5 linked regions of the Cricetulus griseus genome follow. The protein of the gene in region 3 interacts with the protein of the main gene of each other region in a pairwise test. Links are inferred from orthologs where the notes say so. Each region holds a gene or a part of one and is shown on either strand. Other genes may lie near its edges. The genes, in order: Ccdc184, Pnma1, Gpank1, Trim23 and Golga2.

Region 1 (2,271 bases), on a different chromosome or scaffold from region 3:
AGTCGCTATTTTAAGCGCTGGGGATTCCGTGATGCGGGGTGCAGGGGAGGGAAATCTGTTGTTATGGAGTTTTCATTCTCACAATTTAAGTACTTAGTTAGCTTCACCATTCTCATAAACTCACAGCAACCTGGGTAGAAGCAGTTGGGTCCCAAAAGGGACAGCATCTCACCCTGTGTTTTCTGGAGCGAGGGAACGGGTTTGTGCAGCAGAAGGAAGAGGCAGAAATCGGTCGTGCCCTCGTCCTCCCTCCGCACCATCGCCAGGCCTGGCACGGCAAGCTCCCCTGGGATTATTAACAATCTCCTCTCTACCCAGTCCCACCGACCGCTGGAGGACAAGGGCAGGGTCTGACTCTCGTGCTATTCTCCAAGGAAGGAATGCACAGAGCTGGTGAAAAGCCCTCCTAGGCGGACGTCTCTCTCGGGCTTGGGGGTGGGGGTGGGGACGTGCAGCAAACTGCTCTCTCATGCTGTCCTATTAAACATTGCAGCCACACTCTCTTTGCAGTTTCTCTGAGGCCACTGCAGCGTCCCCGCCCCGTCCGCCCGTCAGCCCATACAAGAGAGCTCCACTGCAGCTTCTGGAACCGCGTTCCCTTTCTTCTCCACTTCCTCGTTGCCATGGAGACACACGTCATTTACGTGCCGTGCGTCGCCTTGGAAACGGGGGAGCATCCGCGGCGCTGCCGGGAGACCCGCCCCTGCCGCTCCAGCCGCACTCGCGGGCTCTGTTGGTGGATAGCCCGGGTGCGGGGGGAAGTCCCCAGAACGACGCGCTGCAGGTTCCCGTCTTGACCCTGACCTCTCTGCGAGCGCCTCTGTGACCCGGAGAGCCTGCAGGCACTCTGACGGTGGTTGCCAGGAGGGCGGCTGGGACACAGGCACCAACCCCGGAGGCTAGCTGGCATTGCACTTTTGTCCCTGGGCAAGCCCGAAGACGCTGGCTTCAGGATCCTAGACGGGTCTTCGTTGTGTGGACTCTTGTCTGTCTTCCTTGATCCTGCCGGCGCCCTCTGCCTGGGACTGCCCTTTTCACGTCGGCTACCCGTCCCTCTAGGGAGACTAGGTGTCCCTGGGCACCATCCTGTCCCTCTCGGGACCTCTTCCCCTCCACATCCTTCCCCCACCCTGGAGGCCCGGCTGGAAGCGACCCAGAGCTGCCACAGCCGGCTTCTGACACTCAATGGAGGACAGTCTGCTGGAGATCATGACCAAGGACGGTGGAGACATGCCGGCACCTTTGGAGGTGTCCACAGTGCCAGCCGTGGGGGACGTGATCTCTGGGGAGTATAACGGCGGCATGAAGGAACTGATGGAGCACCTGAAGGCCCAGCTGCAGGCCCTGTTTGAGGACGTGAGGGCTATGCGAGGGGCGCTGGACGAGCAGGCCTCGCACATCCAGGTTTTGTCGGACGACGTGTGCGCCAACCAGAGGGCCATAGTCTCTATGTGCCAGATTATGACCACCGCGCCCCGCCAGGGAGGCTTGGGCGTGGCTGCAGGCAAGGGGAGCTTCCCGAGTGTTCCCCACGAGCCAGAGACACCTTCGATTGGGATCGGGGACGGGGGCTTGCTGGGTCGCGATCCAGAGGAGGAGGAGGATGAAGAGGAGGAGAAAGCGATGCCCAGCCCCGCCACACCCACCAGTCACCGTGAGCGCTCTGAGAGCCCCTGTGCTGGTCTCCTTGGGGAGGATGGGCCACTTGTGGAGCCCCTCGACCTGCCTGACATTACCCTGCTGCAGCTGGAGGGCGAGGTTTCTCTGTAAGGGGAAACCCCACCAGGGCACCAACTACCTGGGCTTTGGGTTTCCAAGCGCTTAATGCCAGGGGATTGAACAGTGCGGTGCAATGTGCTTCACTCCTAACGTGGTTCTTATAGGTCAGGGAGAGAGACTCCCTCACATAAGGATTTGTAGGGTGAAGGACTTTGGAGGCATCTTGAATTCCACCCAATCACGCATCATAGCAAAACTGCAGAAAGGTGAGGTTCCCGGAGAGGAAGTGCCCATCTCTGGGACTCCCATCCATCCCCTTACCTTGCCCTTTCCCTTCTTCCCAGGAAACAGGAGGACCATTGAATTATGTAAATAAAATTCTTTTTCTATTCTGAACAAGGACTCATCTAGGACTTTGGCAAATAATCTCTATTTACCTAGAAATTAAGGAATTGGGGTATATTCTGTTCTGGTAACAGGAATTTCACCCTTTTGCTGAAATCCAAGACATAGAGTGCTCTGCAGAAGCCTCTCCCCTCACAGATCTCTGCG
Region 2 (4,277 bases), on a different chromosome or scaffold from region 3:
ACTAGCCGGAGCTAGATAGTGAGACTGTATCTAAAAGAAATAGCTGGGTGAGGTGGCTCACACCTGTAACCCTAGCACTGTGGAGGCTGGAGGCAGGAGGATTGCTACAAGTTTGAGGCCAGCCTGGGCTACAGAGTGAATTCCAAGCCAGCCTCAGCTAGCTATCGAGTGGGACCGTGAAAAAGAAACAAAACAATAACCGAGGAACCGGCAACACAAGAATGTGTAGGTGATATTGCAATTTAAGCTCATAGCAAGGAGATTAAAAAATTTTTTGACATGAGCAAAAATGTGCAGAGAAAAAATGTGCAGAGCTAAGTTACACTGAAAATTTTTTATACATGTCAGGAAAAGCAAGATGAGAATTTTCACATTTTTATTTGTATACATCTATTTGATAACTTCAAATTTAGAACACTTAGCATCAACATGACCAATAATTAAATGACAAATAATTCATGTGGGGAAAATGTAGCTTGTTTATGGAAATTCCCCCTGACTTATATTTGTATCTTACACCATGAAAAGTAGGTTGTGCCTCTTCATAAAAATCACATTTTTCTAACTTGCCAATTTTAATCCTAGAGTACTTTGCTGGTAAACTGGTTCTGATGTTGAGCCGTGAGGAATGAGAAATCTGAATTTTCAAAATGAGCAGTATCATCTAACAGACTCATATTCTTCCCATGTATATAAATTAGGGACAATGTACAGTAAAACTATCCACAATATTAGTAACAAATGTCAGTCTGTACCATACAGCCTGTGAAGCAGGCTTGCACTTTCACAATCATCCTGACAGGAAGTGTCTCAGCTTCACATTTTTCACAACTGTCAAAGATGTCACTAGGAGGGCTTGCATCAAGCATTCATTTTAGGCAGTATGAACCACCTCTACTGTTGCAGCCCTGGCCAATCACGCAATTCTGTGACTGCTACACAAATACGCAGGCCTGACTCCCCTATCCCATCCCCCAGAAAACAAAACAAAAACAGGAGGCTAGGTCTTTACTATGAGAGGCAAGGCTTGTAAAACCGCACAGGGATAACAAAAGCAGCCAGACTGATCCAGGGACTCAGAAGTGCCCCTCCAGGCCTAGCTGCAAAAGGGCTGCCTCAGCTTCCTCTTCCTCCTCCTTGGCTTCCTCCTCTCGAATCTGCACCAGCAACTGGAAGAGGTTGGGTGCCGGTCGTTCCGCAGCCCCAGTCAGCCACAATTGCCTTCGGATGGCCCCACTGTGGTTGGCCCCGGCGATGACCTGCTCCAGGCGAGCCTGGTTCACGTTATCTTTATCAATGGCCCCCTTTTCCACTACCTTTTGTAGCAGAGGCTCCAGACGAATGACGTAAGATGACAACTTTTCCCCGGGGTTCTGGTAAGTGTTCAGAAATCTGACCTGTGTATCTCTAGAGCTCTCCACGCTCCCAAACACCTGCTCAAGAGCCTTCAGGCATTCCGCGGTGGTTATGGCTGGGTTGTTGGTCTTGAGGATGCGAATGACATCAGCAGCAGGGCCTCTCAAACTCTCCATCAACCGCCGTCTCTTTTCTATATCAGACACCTGCCATTCTTCTATGACCTCATTCGAGTGCTCCAGCCAGGAATCAAAGGTCTCCTCGCCAGGCCCGGGAATGTCCCTCCCAGAGAATAGCGTCAGCTTCTTATACCATATGGACTCAACAAGAGGTTGAATAACATTATCCAAAATATAATTGAGCATCTCTGCTGGCATTTCTGGGCCTGGAGCGGGAGCAGGGTTCTGAAACCCAAGCACACGAGCAACATCTTGCACAGTCCACCCTTCCCTAGCTAGAAAGAGGTGCAGCCTCTCCAGAAACTCCGCATCAGAAGTGGGGGGCTTAAAGAACACTTTCCAGAGCCCTCCTTTGCCTGGCATCTCTCTAGGGATCAGGGAGTAATCCACTTCCCCGGTGAGCTCTAACAAGGCTGCCTTCGCATTTTCTTCCCTCCAGAACATTCTCCCCAGTACTCGGTAGGGCACTTGGGGCATGGCAGCTTGGAGGGTCTCTTCGATTTCAGCCTCATCACAGTTCACAGGGATCCCCCAGACCAGCAGAGCTCTCTGAGAGTTCACATCCATTCCCCTGCACCAGTCTTCCAAGAGCGTCAAAGCCATTTCGCCCCACTATTAAGGGTGCCAGTTCTACAGACACCGACTGGACTGGCTCGCAGTGCTATAGGACCTAGGACAATACAACATGCCTCCCTCCCCCGGGTAGGCCAGGGGGCGACAAGCTTCAAGCAACCACAATTACCAGTGACACCGGAGTCCAGTCTCGTCCCTTCCGGGTCCCAAAGTCAGTAGTGTCAGGTGCCTCGGGGCACTCTGCCTATCGAATGTCGCCCTCTTTGGTCCGAGCAGGTGCGGGCTGGCCGCAGCTATTCGTGGCCTCACGGCGGGCAGGGGAGAAGCAAGGTTGGCGCAAGGCGGTGGGCTTCAGCTTCACGAGGGAGACGGCCGGGTGCGGTCGCGGGGTGTGGCAGCTCCCCCCCGCCGCTCTCGGGCCGGCCGGCCGGCGGTAGGCGCGGGCGTAGGGTCACGCGAGGCAGTGGCTGGGAAGACGCCGGGAGAGGCGGTACTCGGGTCCGGCGGCTGCGGCAGCAGGCGAGCACCGGGGACGGAGGCCTCAGGGAGGCGCGGAAGGCGGGAGGCCGGATGGAGGCAGCTCCGCTCAGCGTCTAGAGCAGCGCGCTCCCGCAACGGCCGCCGCCGTGCAGCTGCAGTGCAGGGCGGGGCCGGTCCGCTCGTCAGTGTCGCCGTGGCAACCGTATCCATGACGACGGGAGATGCGCGAGCTCCAGAGGATCTGGCGGTTGCTATGGTACCGAGGGGTTGAGGAGTCTATTTTGTGATGGCGCGCGCGCGCGCGCACACACACACACACGTATTTCCCAGCTTCTTTCTTAACAATAAATATTGCAAAGCATCGTTTTCTTTTTTTCTTAATCTAATTTTGCTGTGAATTTAAGTTGGCCTTATTGATACGCATCCACCACGACAGACTTGTCTGTCTCATGTTGCTCATCCAGCTTATGCATTCACTATGCAGCCCATGAAAACACTCAGCACTCTGACTTCTGCGTACCTCCTGACCACACACCACAGCTGCTGCTTGCTCCTCCCCAGGAAAGCAAAAGACAGAATGCCATCTCCAGGTTCCTGTGAGACTTACTATGCTTTCTTGCCTAAATTTTGTATATATATATATAAAAAAAACCAACAAAATGCTGCTGCTGCTACTTCTTTGTAGCCAGGCAAACTGCAAACACTTTCATTTCTTGATCTTACTGAGTATACAGGATAACAAAAGAGAATGCTTAAGGCTCAGAAAGGTAGGGTAAATTCTCTTCAAGCAAGGCCTGTCAATCCCAGCTGGCAAAAACATCCCTATAAATCAGGCGGGCCTTGGTGGCCCATGCCGTTAATCCCAGCACTCGGGAGGCAGAGGCAGGAGGAGCTTTGTGAGTTCAAGGCAAACCTGATCTATAAATTGAGTTCCCGGCCAGGCTCCAAAACTACACAGAGAAACCCTGCCTCAAAAAATCAAATAAATAAATAAACACACAAACCCCACCCCTATAAAGATATGGCATTGGGGGCTGGATAGAAGGCTCACTGGTTAGGAGCATTGGCTGCTATTCCAAAGGACCTGGGTTCAATTCCCCGAACCCACATGGCAGCTCACACCTGTCGGTAACCCCAGTTCCCAAAGATCTAACAACCTCACACTGATACACATGCAGACACAGAACACAAATGCAAATAAAATAAAAATAAACAAATCGTTACAAAAAAAAGAATATGGCGCCGGGCATTGGTGGCAAACTCCTTTAATCCCAGCACTCGGGAGGCAGAGGCAGGCGGATCTCTGTGAGTTCAAGGCCAGCCTGGTCTTCAGAGCAAGTTCCAGAACAACCTCCAAAACAATACAGAGAAAACGTGTCTCAAAAAAAAAAAAAAAAAAAAAAGGAAAGAAAAGAAAAAGAAAAACCAAGAATATGGCATTCAACAGTGAATTTTTTAAAATTTTTATTTAATAAAAGGTCTTAAGATACAGAACATTCAAAAGTAAATAAGTTACATAGGTACATTACAATCACAGCAAGATTCTCTTTAGTGTATTAATTTTTTTATAAAAAGCACACAAAAAATAAAATTTTCAGTCTGGTCTATCACAACTGTACAGCAAAAGAGGTAATATTTATATATATGTACACTATTTAATATGTAACAGTCTTTTTTAAAAAGAGTGCC
Region 3 (4,295 bases):
AAGCCAAGGCTGTTCAGGCACCTGGTGGAGCAGGGTGGCACACTTCATGCCTTACTTCTAATTTTAGCATCATCTTTTTGCTTTTTTCCGAGACAGGGTTTCTCTGTGTAGCTTTGGAGCCTATCCTGGCACTTGCTCTGTAGACCAGGCTGGCCTCAAACTCACAGAGACCCGCCTGCCTCTACCTCCCGAGTGCTGGGATTAAAGGCATGCGCCACCAACGCCCGGCTTAGCATCATTTTTGTTTTATCTTGCGTTGGATAGGCACCCCGGGGTCTTCGAAGTGTTAGCCAAGTGTTCCACTGCCAAGCTATACCAGCCCCTCTCCATCTGTGCAGAGGGACCATTTGGGATACCGTGAGGTGGACCTCAGCTCTTAGGAATAATGAGTAGAGCTAAAGCTTATTTTTTTTTTTTTTTTGCGGGGGAGGTTGAGACAGGGTTTCTCTGTAGCTTTGGAGGCTGTCCTGGAACTCACTCTGTAGACCAGGCTGGTCTTGAACTCAACAGAGATCCGCCTGCCTCTGCCTGCCGAGTGCTGGGACTAAAGGCGTGCGCCATCACCGTGTGGCGAGCTGATGCTTATGACCACACTATGTGACAGCCACTGTTCCATCACTTTCCACATTAACCTGCTGCATCTTAACGACTGCGAGACAGGTGCTTATCCCCACTTCTCAGACAAGGAGAGGTTTACAGACATTAGGCTGACGTTGCAAGAAAACGAAGCCAAGATTTAGTGAGCAAAGACCATGGCCATTGTCGCTCTGTGACAGGAACTAGCTACACTGGAGGATGAAGAGCCCCCGAATGGGGTGTCCAGGAAAGGCAGAACACAATAAAGGTGGGTATGAGCTAGCGCTCCCTCCTCACCGGCTCTGGTTCTCGGGGCTCCTTGTCTCTCCACGGCTCTCTCTGACCATGCGGGCCACCTCAGGGAAGCCCGCTTCTTCGGCCAGCTGAGCAGCATCTCTGCCTCCCAGCTCACAGACTCCTACCCAGGCAGCACCCCGGTCCAGAAGATAGCACACGGCAGCCGCTTGGCCTGCTCTGGCGGCGCACATCAGGGGAGTCCACCAGAAGGCATCGCGTGCATTGATGTTCCCTCCAGCTCCCCCTGCCTCCCGGGGTTCCAGCAGCCTTCGAAGTTCTGTCAGATCCCCGTTCTGGGCTGCCAGCAGGATCCACTGGGTCATCCTGTCGTCATCCTCTGGTGGCAGTGGCCTTCCTTGCCCCGAGGCTCCTGCTGCCACCGCCGCAGCCTCCCTGGTCCCTCTCCTTTTCCTCCTCTTTTGTCCTCTGACAGGGCCAGCTCTCTGGGGCTTAGGGGAGCTACTCTCATCTGCAATTAGAGCCTCGTAGAAAGCCCGGGCTGCGGCCCCATCCAGGACTGGCCCTGGCTTCTCAGGCTGTGGTTGCTGCTGCCCATCTTTCCAGAGGTCGCTGGAGTCGGTGGCTGGAGTAAATGCGATGAGGGACGGCCTGGACATGGCTTTGGGGAGAAACGAGGAAAGAAGGCTGGGAAAGGCTGTGATGAACACTCCAACCCGATGTAATGACCAGCACCACCCCCAGGGCCTGCTGGGATGAGAAAGCCGCCTAGAACTAAAACAGACCTCTCACTCCCCGACCCTAGGATCTTGTAGACCCCTGGAATGGCAGATGCTGAACAGATGTTAATTAAGTATCATGAGGGCATGGTAGATTAGGTTCTTTGTAGAATGCTCGCCTCGAATTTGGGAGGTCTGGGTTCTATCTCTACAACAGGAAAGAAAAAAAAAATGATAATAGGAAAGAATGTTCCCCCAGGCACTTGTCTAGGGGCCCTGCGTTCTACTCCCTTCTCCCTTCAAACAAAAACAGCAGGCTGTCTCTGAAAACCTTTTCCCACCCTGTAACACATACCGTTAGGGAATATCGGCCGGGACTTTTAAATCTTGCTCGATCTTACGTGGGGCTGGGGGGGGGTGTCTCCTTTTCCCAAAGAAAAACAGGCGTGACATCATTCCAGAAGGTGTCGGGGTAAAAGCGTTGCACTGTCACTTCCGTACCGAAAAATGGCGCTCTCGTCATCTGCAAGAGTTGACACAATCCGACACCCACCTGGCACAGAGACGCATGCGCAGCAGCCAACCACAACAAAACACCCACAAGGTTCAGTTTCCCGCGCTGGAACCTTCCCAAGCATCCGCGTCAGGCATCGCGTGCCCAGACAGCGCGAGGGCCCAGGGGGACCTGTCGGTTGGGGTCCTACTTTTACATAACGCCCCCACAATGCTCTTCGCCACCCTCGACGTGGTCCCTCCCGCTCCAAGCCCCTCTTGTGGAGCCGGGAGGCCTGAGGACGCCAGGGAGCCGCGGGATGCCGGGCAGCCGCGAGACGCGCTAACACCACGGCGCCCCTCACCGCTACTCCGAGCAGGGCTCGAAGAGCAAGCAGCTCACGTGGGGTCCGCAGCAGCAGCAGCAGCAGCAACAGCAGCAGCAGCAGCAAGCAGCAGCAACACATGGAGAAGTGCAAAGGGATGAGCGGCAGAATGGCAGGCGCCACCTCAGGTTAGCGCGCGGGGCGGTGCAGCAGGTCCCCCGCCCCCGCCGCCCGGCTCGGCAGCCCAAGCCCTGCGACCTCAGCCCCGCACTCCGAGCCGCACCTCCGGGCCGCATGCCTGGTCCTCGGCGACGGTGTCAGTCCCCGGGGCGGCAGGGACGACCGGAGCGGGACGGAGCGGGCGCGCAGCGGGGACCTCAGCGGCCGCCGGCGCCGGCTCGCAGCCTGCCGAGCCCAAAGCGCGTAGGACTATATTTCCCAGGCTTCCCGGTCGGGAAGGCGGCTGTAACCTGGCTTCCGCTTCCGGTGGAGGCTCGGCTCGCCCCGCCCCCAGGCGGCTTCCGCTAGGGCCTCGCGACCCCGGAGTCATGCGCGCGGACTCTTGGGATTGGTGGTTCGCCGTCCCCGCATCGCGTCACTTTCTGCCTCTCTACGGGACTCCATTTCCCGGCGTCCCTAGGGGCAGGGGCGGTCCTCGGCGCCTGCGCGTTGCCCTCTCTCCCTCCCCACCCTCCCCAGTTCCCCTTCCCCCCTCCCCACTTCGCCTGCCGCGGTCCGCTCGGCTTCCTGCGCTGTAGCGGTCGCTGCGGTTCCTTCGAAGCTCGGCTCCCCTTCCCCGCCCCAGTCCCAGTCCCCGTCCGGCCGGTGAGTCTGCGCTCGTCCCCGCGCCGCGGCGCCGGGCTCCGCGCTCCGAGATGTGGGGGCGAGGAAGGAAGGGACCGGGTCGGCGGCCGAAGGAGGCCGGGTGGCCTGAGGAGAGGAGCGGCTGTGGGGACGCTCGTGGGTCCCGCGGGGGTGCGGGGCTCCCGCCGGCGCCGCGAGGCCCCGAGAGGCGGGCTCGGGGGGGAGGATGGACTCGGGAAGCCTCGGGACGGGCGCCAGGCGAGTGCCTCGGTGGGGCCGCGCGGGCCGCGCGCGGCCGGGGGCCGGGGGGCCGGGGGGCCGGGGCCTGGCCTCGCGCCGGGCAACACCCACAGATCGGGACCTGTCACCCCCTGGGAAGGAGTGGAGCTGGTTCTCACCACGCTGTCGGGGGGCTGAGGTAAAGAAGAGAGGCGTGGAGAGCGGTGCTTCACGGGCCGGGGCCACTCAACGCCAGTGGCCTCGGATTCCTCCGCCGTTGAGGAGACCGTGTGTGTGGGAGGAGGGAAGAGACCAAGAAACAGCCTGGTCTCCACTTAACGCCCTTCTTCCTCAGCCGACGTAAAGATGAGTAGCTCTGAGGAGGTTTCCTGGATTTCCTGGTTCTGTGGGCTCCGTGGTAATGAGTTCTTCTGTGAGGTGAGTTTAGCTGGCTTTCTGGGCCCTCTCCACGTGCCCTCGGTGTTTTCGTTGTATGTTGTCTGAGATGAGATTTCCCCCGAAGCTGACTGTGTAGCCCAGACTGTCCTTGAACTCCTGGCAATCCTAGTGCCTCAGTCTCCTGAGCGCTGGGGTTCACTCTGTGCATGGCTAACAGAGGTATCGCTGGTGACCGTCAGGAAAGTTAAAATGTTTCATGTAACATGAAAACCACAGTGTGGTAACGTAGGAAATGATCAATGCCTGTGAGAGTCTGATGTCCCAGAGCAGAGAGCAAACCCGGGTCCTTTAGAGGAGGGAGACAAGTTGAATAATGCGCTGTACCTTGTTGGCCCGGAAAGAAGAGAGCTGCGGTTTCTGTGGGAGACGGAACACCTCTGCAGAAGTGAGAATAGGAAACAAGGGGAGCCGATGCGGTCGTTTGTCTCCTGGGCCAGGTGAAAGA
Region 4 (3,517 bases), on a different chromosome or scaffold from region 3:
TAAAGCAAGAGTCCTATCCAGCGACACACTTGGACCATAGGATTCTGTAGTGTGGCTTGATCGGGAGACAATGGAATAATTCATTGTGAATATTTTTAAAAAGTAATTAAAACTGAAAACAACACAAACAATAGTTAGTTGTAAAGGCACTGAAAATGGTATGCTATGATAGTTACAGTTTATGATTATTTATAAAATAATTAACCCATGGACCTGAGATTCAGAGTGAGTCAGTTCTCACAGCTTTTTTTTTTTTTGAGTGCCTTTTGGTACATATAGTATTTGGTATATATACCTGTGATTACAACTAGATAGTCAAATATTTTCCAAGCCAGAGTTACTTATTAATAAAGAATAGGAATTGAAATTTAATTTTCAGCTAATCTGGCTTTTGCCCTTACATTATTTTGTGAAGTTTAGAAGATAATTGAATATTCCTTGGAGACATTCTTACAAATTTTTTTATAGTTTAGAAAATTGAGTGTCATCCCAATACACATTTTAGATTTTTTTTTAAAGATTTTATTTATTTATTATGTATACAACATTCTGCTTCCATGTCTATCTGCACAGTATAAGAGGGCACCGGATCTCATAATGGATGGTTGTGAGCCACCATGTGGGTGCTGGGAATTGAACTCAGGACCTCTGGAAGAACAGTCAGTGCTCTTAACCACTGAGCCATCTCTCCAGCCCTAGATTTTTTTTTTTTTTTTAAAGTCAATGGTGTTTTAACTGGACATAATGATACATCCCATAATCTAGCATTTGGGAGGCAGAGGCAGGAGGATCACTGTATATTTGAGGCCAGCCTGGACTGAGGTCCATTCAGAGCTGCTCAGTGAAATGTCATCTAACAAGGAAATAAACCAGGGTTTAGAGAGATGACTAATCTGTTGAGAATACTGACTGCTGTTTCAGAGGATCTGGTTTGATTTTTCAGTACCCACATGGTGGCTCACAACCATCTGTTACTCTAGCTCCAGGGAATCTTATACTCTCTTCTGACTTCTGTGGGCACTATACCAACAAGGTGCGCAGACATATATTCAGGCAAACATCCATACACAAAAATAAATCTCAAAACTTTTTTTAAAAAAGGAAAAGCAAAGTGAATGATTGTTGATGGGGGTTTCAGTAGAATTATAAATTGCTACATGTTCAGTTTTCAGGAGATTAGATTATGTTTCTTATATTAATTTGCAACATAAGAGTATTTCAAGGAGGTTTCACTTTGACAAGGTCTGTCAAATGGAAATGAATAAAAATGTGATTTAAGGTTTCATAATTTAGTCCCCCCCCATGGAGGAATTAAGTAATAAGATTGAGTAAGTATATTAACTAGGTCAATTCTTTTTAAATCTAAAATACTAGAATATTGTTTTAATAGTGTTTATAGACACATGTTTCTGTTTCCAATACTAGGTTCTGGAGTGTGGGGTTTGTGAAGATGTCTTCTCTTTGCAAGGGGATAAAGTTCCTCGCCTCCTCCTTTGTGGTCACACAGTCTGTCATGACTGTCTCACTCGCTTGCCTCTGCATGGAAGAGCAATACGTTGCCCATTTGATCGACAAGTAACAGACCTAGGTAGGAAAATTATTCGTGTAACACAAATGACGGAGAAAACAATTTCTTTACACTTGATTTTTTAGGTTAAGTTCCAAGAGCTTTTAGAATTTTGAGTTTCTGTTAAGGTCAATGGGATTCTGTTAAGCTAGCTCACTCTTAATTACCAGTGGAAATCTGAGACTTATATTCAATACTTAATGCTGAGAACTTAAGTACTACCCTAATTCAAAGAAATGAGAATACTGTATTCATCACAGATTAAACCCTTTGCCTAAAGCCATCAATCCAATAACTTTTTTTTTTTAAATGAACAAGCAGGTAGTCAAAATATATATTAAGTCATTTGAGTCTCAGTTTCAACTAACTCCCTTCCTTCCTTCCATCCTTCCTTCCTTCCTTCCTTCCTTCCTTCCTTCCTTCCTTCCTTCCTTCTTTCCTTCCTTCCTTTCTTTCTTTTTGAAACAGGGTTTCTCTGTGTAGCCCTGGCTGTCTTGGAACTTGCTTTGTAGACCAGACTGGCCTTGAACTTAAAGATCTGCCTGCTTTTAGTTCCCCAGTTCAGTCCTGGGATTAAAGGTGTGTGCCACTATGCCAGATAGGTCCTTTCATACTTCTAAAACTACTTCAGAATCACTATTCACAGATTTTAAAAATTAAAAATATTACATCTATTTGTGTGTGTCTGTGTCCAAAACAGGTGATCAGGCTTGCAGCAAGTGTCTTTATCAAAGAATCTATCTCAGGGGCCTAGATCTAGAAAGTAGAACATTAGCATGTGAAAAATTATTTCACAATTTAATATAAGTTCTTAATTTACTCTGTAAGATAAAAGAATTTTTTCCAAAATAATTTTTAAGGCTGATTTTTTTTTTTTTTTTTTTAAGGTCTTTAGCACTACTTAAGGCCAGGGCTGGTGGGAGGAGTTAACTGACTCCTGCAAGTTATTCTCTCAACTCCACACTTGTGTGGTGGCACCCTTCCATATATGTGTGTACGTACACCCCTACACAGAAGATAACATAAATGTAATAAATGACAAATATAGTCACACTATATGTTAAAATTAAATAATTTAGCTACCCATAAAAGGAAGCAAAGCTGTCTCTATATTTAGGCTTTCAAATGCTAGGAAATATGGCTTTAACATGTTGTCTTTGATTTTGGCTGTTCTCATATAAATAAGTATTATGTATATTCTCCAGGAAACTAATGCAAGGCACTAATGACATTATATAGATAGCATTAACCTACTATAAACCACAAAATAATAGTAATGGAAGAGATGTCTCTGTTTTAAAGGTTCATTTAGTTGACTTTCATTTAGTTGACTTTTCATTCTGTAAAACAAAAAGAAATTATCCTTTCTTCATATACAACTAGATGTGTAGAAATGGTAACATTTTGCAAATGTAGGCTAGAACCTTTTCCACTGTTTGGGAGAACCCTCTACTTTTTCTGCAATACCACAGTGTGGGGGTTGCTACACTTAGTGTTGAAAGCAGAAGTTATGACAGGGAGCAGTTAGTCACATCAGAGGTTGGAATCAACTCCTGTCATACCAACATTAGTGATCCCATCTCTGACTTGAATAAAGATTGTAGTGACTATGACTATGACTGTGCTTTGTCTGTGGAATATGCTAGTGACTTGATTACTAGCTTCCAGGTTTTTAAAGATCTGCTTGTATTTGTATCATAGAAATAGTCTATGCGTGTGTGTGTGTGTGTGTGTGTGTGTGTGTGTGTGTGTGTGTGTGTGTATACTACATATTATACTGTATACATACAGTATATACTATATATACGATATATATATACATAATATAGTACTATACATTCTATGTATTACAAACATTTGAGAAAAATATAAAAGATCATTTGTAATTCCCTCTTCTAGAAGAAAACTGCCCTTATTGATTATTATCAGTTCCTAATCTGAGCTATTGTT
Region 5 (3,517 bases), on a different chromosome or scaffold from region 3:
GGAAACTCATCTTTTAAGATCAGTAATCAGGTTTGGTGATAGGAAGCATGTGAACAAATGGATGTGAATCCAGCCTGAACCCAGAGCCTTGTATAACCTCTAACTATAAAGACTCACCTTCTGGTCTTGACCCAGACGAAGAGCAGTCCAGGGATAACCATCTCTAATACAACAGTCATAGGCTGACTTGCAAGCCTGCTCCCAGGCTGCAGCTAATCTGTGATGGGCCTTGCATTTCCCCTCTCCAAATCCAGTGGCTGGCACCACATGCAGTAGGTCTTACCGTCTCCTTCAGCTCCCCCAGCCTCTCCTGCAGCTCTCCCAGCTTCTTGGCCAGCTCTTTCTTGACATGCTGCTCTGACTGCAGTGCACTGGTGATCTCCATGTTCTCGTTGGTCTGGACAGAAAGCAGCCGTCAGTAGGACCTAAAGTGGCTAGGGTGCCCAGACCTGCATATGCACCTCCTCCCACAGAGCAAGGAAGGCTTCTGGATCATTCCTACAAGCCCCAGAGCTCTGGCTTGCTGGGTGCCCACACCACTACCATTTCATGTGAGGTGGACAGCACCCCATCCCTTGGGTAAGGAGGCCTGCAGGCTGCGCACGCACCAGCCTGACGAAGCCGTTTTGCAGCTCAGCCAACTGCTCCTTTAGCTCGCGGTTCTGTGACAGCGCTCTGCTGATGGTGGTGCGGTCACTCTGCATGCTCTCCAGGATCTGCTTGCGCTCCTCAGTCTGCTCACTCCAGCGCTCTGCTGCCCGCTCCAGCTCCAGCAGCCGCTCCTCCTGCTCCCGGTTCAGGTGGCTCAGGCTCTCATTATCCTGCACCTGGGCCCTCAGCTGTTCTGTCAGATTCTCCAGTTCCTTCTGCAGTTGTTCAACCTCTCCCTGCAGCCGCTGTTCCACCTCAGAGGGTCCAGCTGGGGGCGGTGGGGGTGGCGGCTCCTCTAAGAAAGGAAGCAGGCAGTGAGGGGAACCGCCCTTGGCTTCTCAGATAGGCTCCATTGTGAGCTCAAGTCAGGCCCCCTGCCCCAAGCCTTGGCTTCTTGTCTGTCAGGGTCTGAGAGGAGGTAAGCATTTCAAACCAGTCTAGTACAGTTAAGTGATACTAAGTCACCTGCAGGGGGTAGCAGTAGCCATGGCACCCTGCTTTGCACAGAGGGACACATGCTCAGAGGGATGACAAGATTTGCTACCTCCTGGCAGAGACCCCTTGCCCTCTGCTACAATGCCCTTGCACCCACCTGCCACCCCAAGGCAATGGAAGCCACCTTAATGGCCTTTGGACCCACTCCTGCTCTCAGGTCACTCTTGCCCTACTCACCCATCTGACTTCTGAGTTCGGCCAAGCTGGTCTCCAGCTCTTGTACCTGACTTTCTCTGTGTTCCTTCTCCTCCTTCAGAGTGTGCACCTGCCCAAAGGCAGAGGGAAAGAGCTGGGGATCCCGGGCACCATCCATTCCCAGTCCCACCTCCATAAAACTGAAGCCCCTAACCCCTCAGCTGCGCCCCACTGATGCTCAGGAAGAGCAAAGACACCAGGGGCCAGGCCTCACCTGCTCTGCCATTTGCTGTACCCTCTGCTGCCACATGGCACTTTCTCCTTTCAGGTTTTCTGCATACTGGTCTCTCTCCATCTGGAGCTGTTTCAGAGACTCCATCAACTGCATCAGTCAACACACAAGTTACAAAGGGCTATCACTGGTTCTCACCGGCCCTTGGCCACCTGGGGTCATGCCATCCTCTCCCCCAACACATCCTCCTCACCTGGCCTACATGGGTCTCCAGCTGAGCCCGCTCCTCCATGGCATGTTGTAACTGCTGGTTACTATCAGAGGCCTCAGATTGGCTTGAGAACTGTAAAAGGAAAATGAAGGTTTCATCCACCACAGTGCTTCCCACAAGAGTGAGCCAGATTAATGGATAACTCATATGAGAAGCTCAGATGCCATGTGAGAAAAGTGCCAGGAGGTGGTGAACAGCCTCTTGCGTGTGTCATTTAAATGAAGCAGAATGATGGCTTTTCAGCTAGGCACAGTGGGTCACACCTGCAACCTCAGCACTTGGAAGGCTAAGGTAGAAAGATTACCATGAGTTCAAGACTAGTCTGGTTGCCTAGTGAGTTACAGGTCAACCTGGCTACTGATAAGACTTTGTCTCAAAATCAATCAATAAATAAAGTAACAAAAAAGATGGTTTTTCAACCAGGATAAATCAAAAAAGAAAACTTTAACAGCCATATCACAACCACTAAGATTATGACTATATAGGTCAGGTCTACAGCAGGACCAGGAGGAGGCTTCAAACTCTCCAGTGCTTGGCTACAGGTCACCACCAAGGATGCTGAGACTGTGTGCCTGGGCCTTAGGGGTATGAGCTGCACCTCTCACCTGCTGCAGCAGCAGCTCCGACATTTCCAGCTTCTTCTGCAGGTCCTCCACCCCTGACTGTGCAGCTGCTTTCTCTGCCACTAAGACTCGAAGTTTCTCTTCCAGTTCTGAGTTCTGCTGCTTCAGGTCCTCATTATTTTTGCTATGGCCAGAGGTAATGCAGAAAAGAAAGAACCAAGAACAGAAAGGACCACATTTTAGAGCAACTTATGAGCCTTGCTACAAAGTCACAGACACAAGTGACAGATCATACCATGAGTCACAAGTATGGCTGGGACTAGCGCATAGATCTACACAAGGCTAAACCTGTCTCCTCTGAGCCTCAATTTCCCACACTAAAGCTGCAGGAAGCCCAACCTCCTTCCCATTCTTACTTGTTCTTGTACAGCTCCAGCTTGAGGGCATCTCGCTCTTTGGTTAGGTCCTTGTTGTACTACAGATAAAGAGAGCTGAGTCTGGACCTGGCAGGCTAAAGAAACAGCTGGCACAACACCAACGGCCCCAGTGATTTCACAGTGACATCTCTTTTTCCCAACCACACTGATGTTTCCCAAGGCTTTTCTAAGCCTGTGGTCTTAGGTTTCTGTGTGTCTGTTTGGTTTTTCTAGACAGGGTTTCTCTGTGTAGCCCTGGATGTCCCTCTCTAGTCCAGGCTGGCTTTAAACTCAGAGATCTGCCTGAGTCTGCCTCCAGTGTGCACCATGACTGCCTGACTTTGTTTTGTTTTTAAGGTGGGGTCACACTATGTTATCATAGCTGGCTTCAACCTCCTGTGCTTAGATGATCTTCCTAATGCAGCCTGGGAGACCAAAAGTCCACACCATCAGTCATAGCCTTCAGGGTTGGTTTTTTTGTTTTGCTTTGTTTTTTGAGATAGGGTTTCTCTGTGTAACTTCAGAGCCTGTCCTCGAACTAGCTCTTGTAGACCAGGCTGGTCTCAAGCTCACAGAGATCTGCCTGCCTCTGCTTCCCAAGTGCTGGGATTAAAGGCGTGCGCCACCACCGTCTGGTGTTTGTTTTTTGGTTTTGTTTAATATTTTTAAAATGTTGTTTATTATATGTGTATTGTTGTTTTGCCTACACATATGTCTAATCACCACAAGCATAAATTATGGATAGTTGTGAGCC

The links.
Region 1: the proteins of Gpank1 (region 3) and Ccdc184 interact in binary tests that used the Homo sapiens proteins (3 or more experiments, as listed by UniProt). The two-hybrid records come from large-scale screens. The link is inferred for Cricetulus griseus from reciprocal best matches to the Homo sapiens genes GPANK1 and CCDC184.
Region 2: the proteins of Gpank1 (region 3) and Pnma1 interact in binary tests that used the Homo sapiens proteins (3 or more experiments, as listed by UniProt). The two-hybrid records come from large-scale screens. The link is inferred for Cricetulus griseus from reciprocal best matches to the Homo sapiens genes GPANK1 and PNMA1.
Region 4: the proteins of Gpank1 (region 3) and Trim23 interact in binary tests that used the Homo sapiens proteins (3 or more experiments, as listed by UniProt). The link is inferred for Cricetulus griseus from reciprocal best matches to the Homo sapiens genes GPANK1 and TRIM23.
Region 5: the proteins of Gpank1 (region 3) and Golga2 interact in binary tests that used the Homo sapiens proteins (3 or more experiments, as listed by UniProt). The two-hybrid records come from large-scale screens. The link is inferred for Cricetulus griseus from reciprocal best matches to the Homo sapiens genes GPANK1 and GOLGA2.

The regions. Positions count from the first base shown.
Region 1 is NC_048595.1:394,652,665-394,654,935, forward strand, and holds Ccdc184 (coiled-coil domain-containing protein 184), read left to right. Parts: upstream 1-1,185; coding exon 1,186-1,770; downstream 1,771-2,271.
Region 2 is NC_048598.1:119,613,415-119,617,691, reverse strand, and holds Pnma1 (paraneoplastic antigen Ma1), read right to left. Parts: upstream 2,805-4,277; 5' UTR 2,139-2,804; coding exon 1,077-2,138; 3' UTR 350-1,076; downstream 1-349.
Region 3 is NW_023276806.1:231,644,524-231,648,818, reverse strand, and holds the start of Gpank1 (G patch domain and ankyrin repeat-containing protein 1), read right to left. Parts: upstream 2,810-4,295; 5' UTR 2,652-2,809; intron 2,074-2,651; 5' UTR 1,906-2,073; intron 1,759-1,905; exon of another isoform or gene 1,617-1,758; intron 1,493-1,616; 5' UTR 1,491-1,492; coding exon 874-1,490; intron 1-873. Other genes in the region: Csnk2b (casein kinase II subunit beta), read left to right, coding at 3,758-3,829.
Region 4 is NC_048595.1:322,450,738-322,454,254, forward strand, and holds part of Trim23 (E3 ubiquitin-protein ligase TRIM23), read left to right. Parts: intron 1-1,425; coding exon 1,426-1,588; intron 1,589-3,517.
Region 5 is NC_048599.1:144,035,856-144,039,372, reverse strand, and holds part of Golga2 (golgin subfamily A member 2), read right to left. Parts: intron 2,823-3,517; coding exon 2,764-2,822; intron 2,532-2,763; coding exon 2,390-2,531; intron 1,857-2,389; coding exon 1,767-1,856; intron 1,664-1,766; coding exon 1,556-1,663; intron 1,412-1,555; coding exon 1,324-1,411; intron 947-1,323; coding exon 609-946; intron 398-608; coding exon 284-397; intron 1-283. UniProt on the Homo sapiens protein: Peripheral membrane component of the cis-Golgi stack that acts as a membrane skeleton that maintains the structure of the Golgi apparatus, and as a vesicle thether that facilitates vesicle fusion to the Golgi membrane.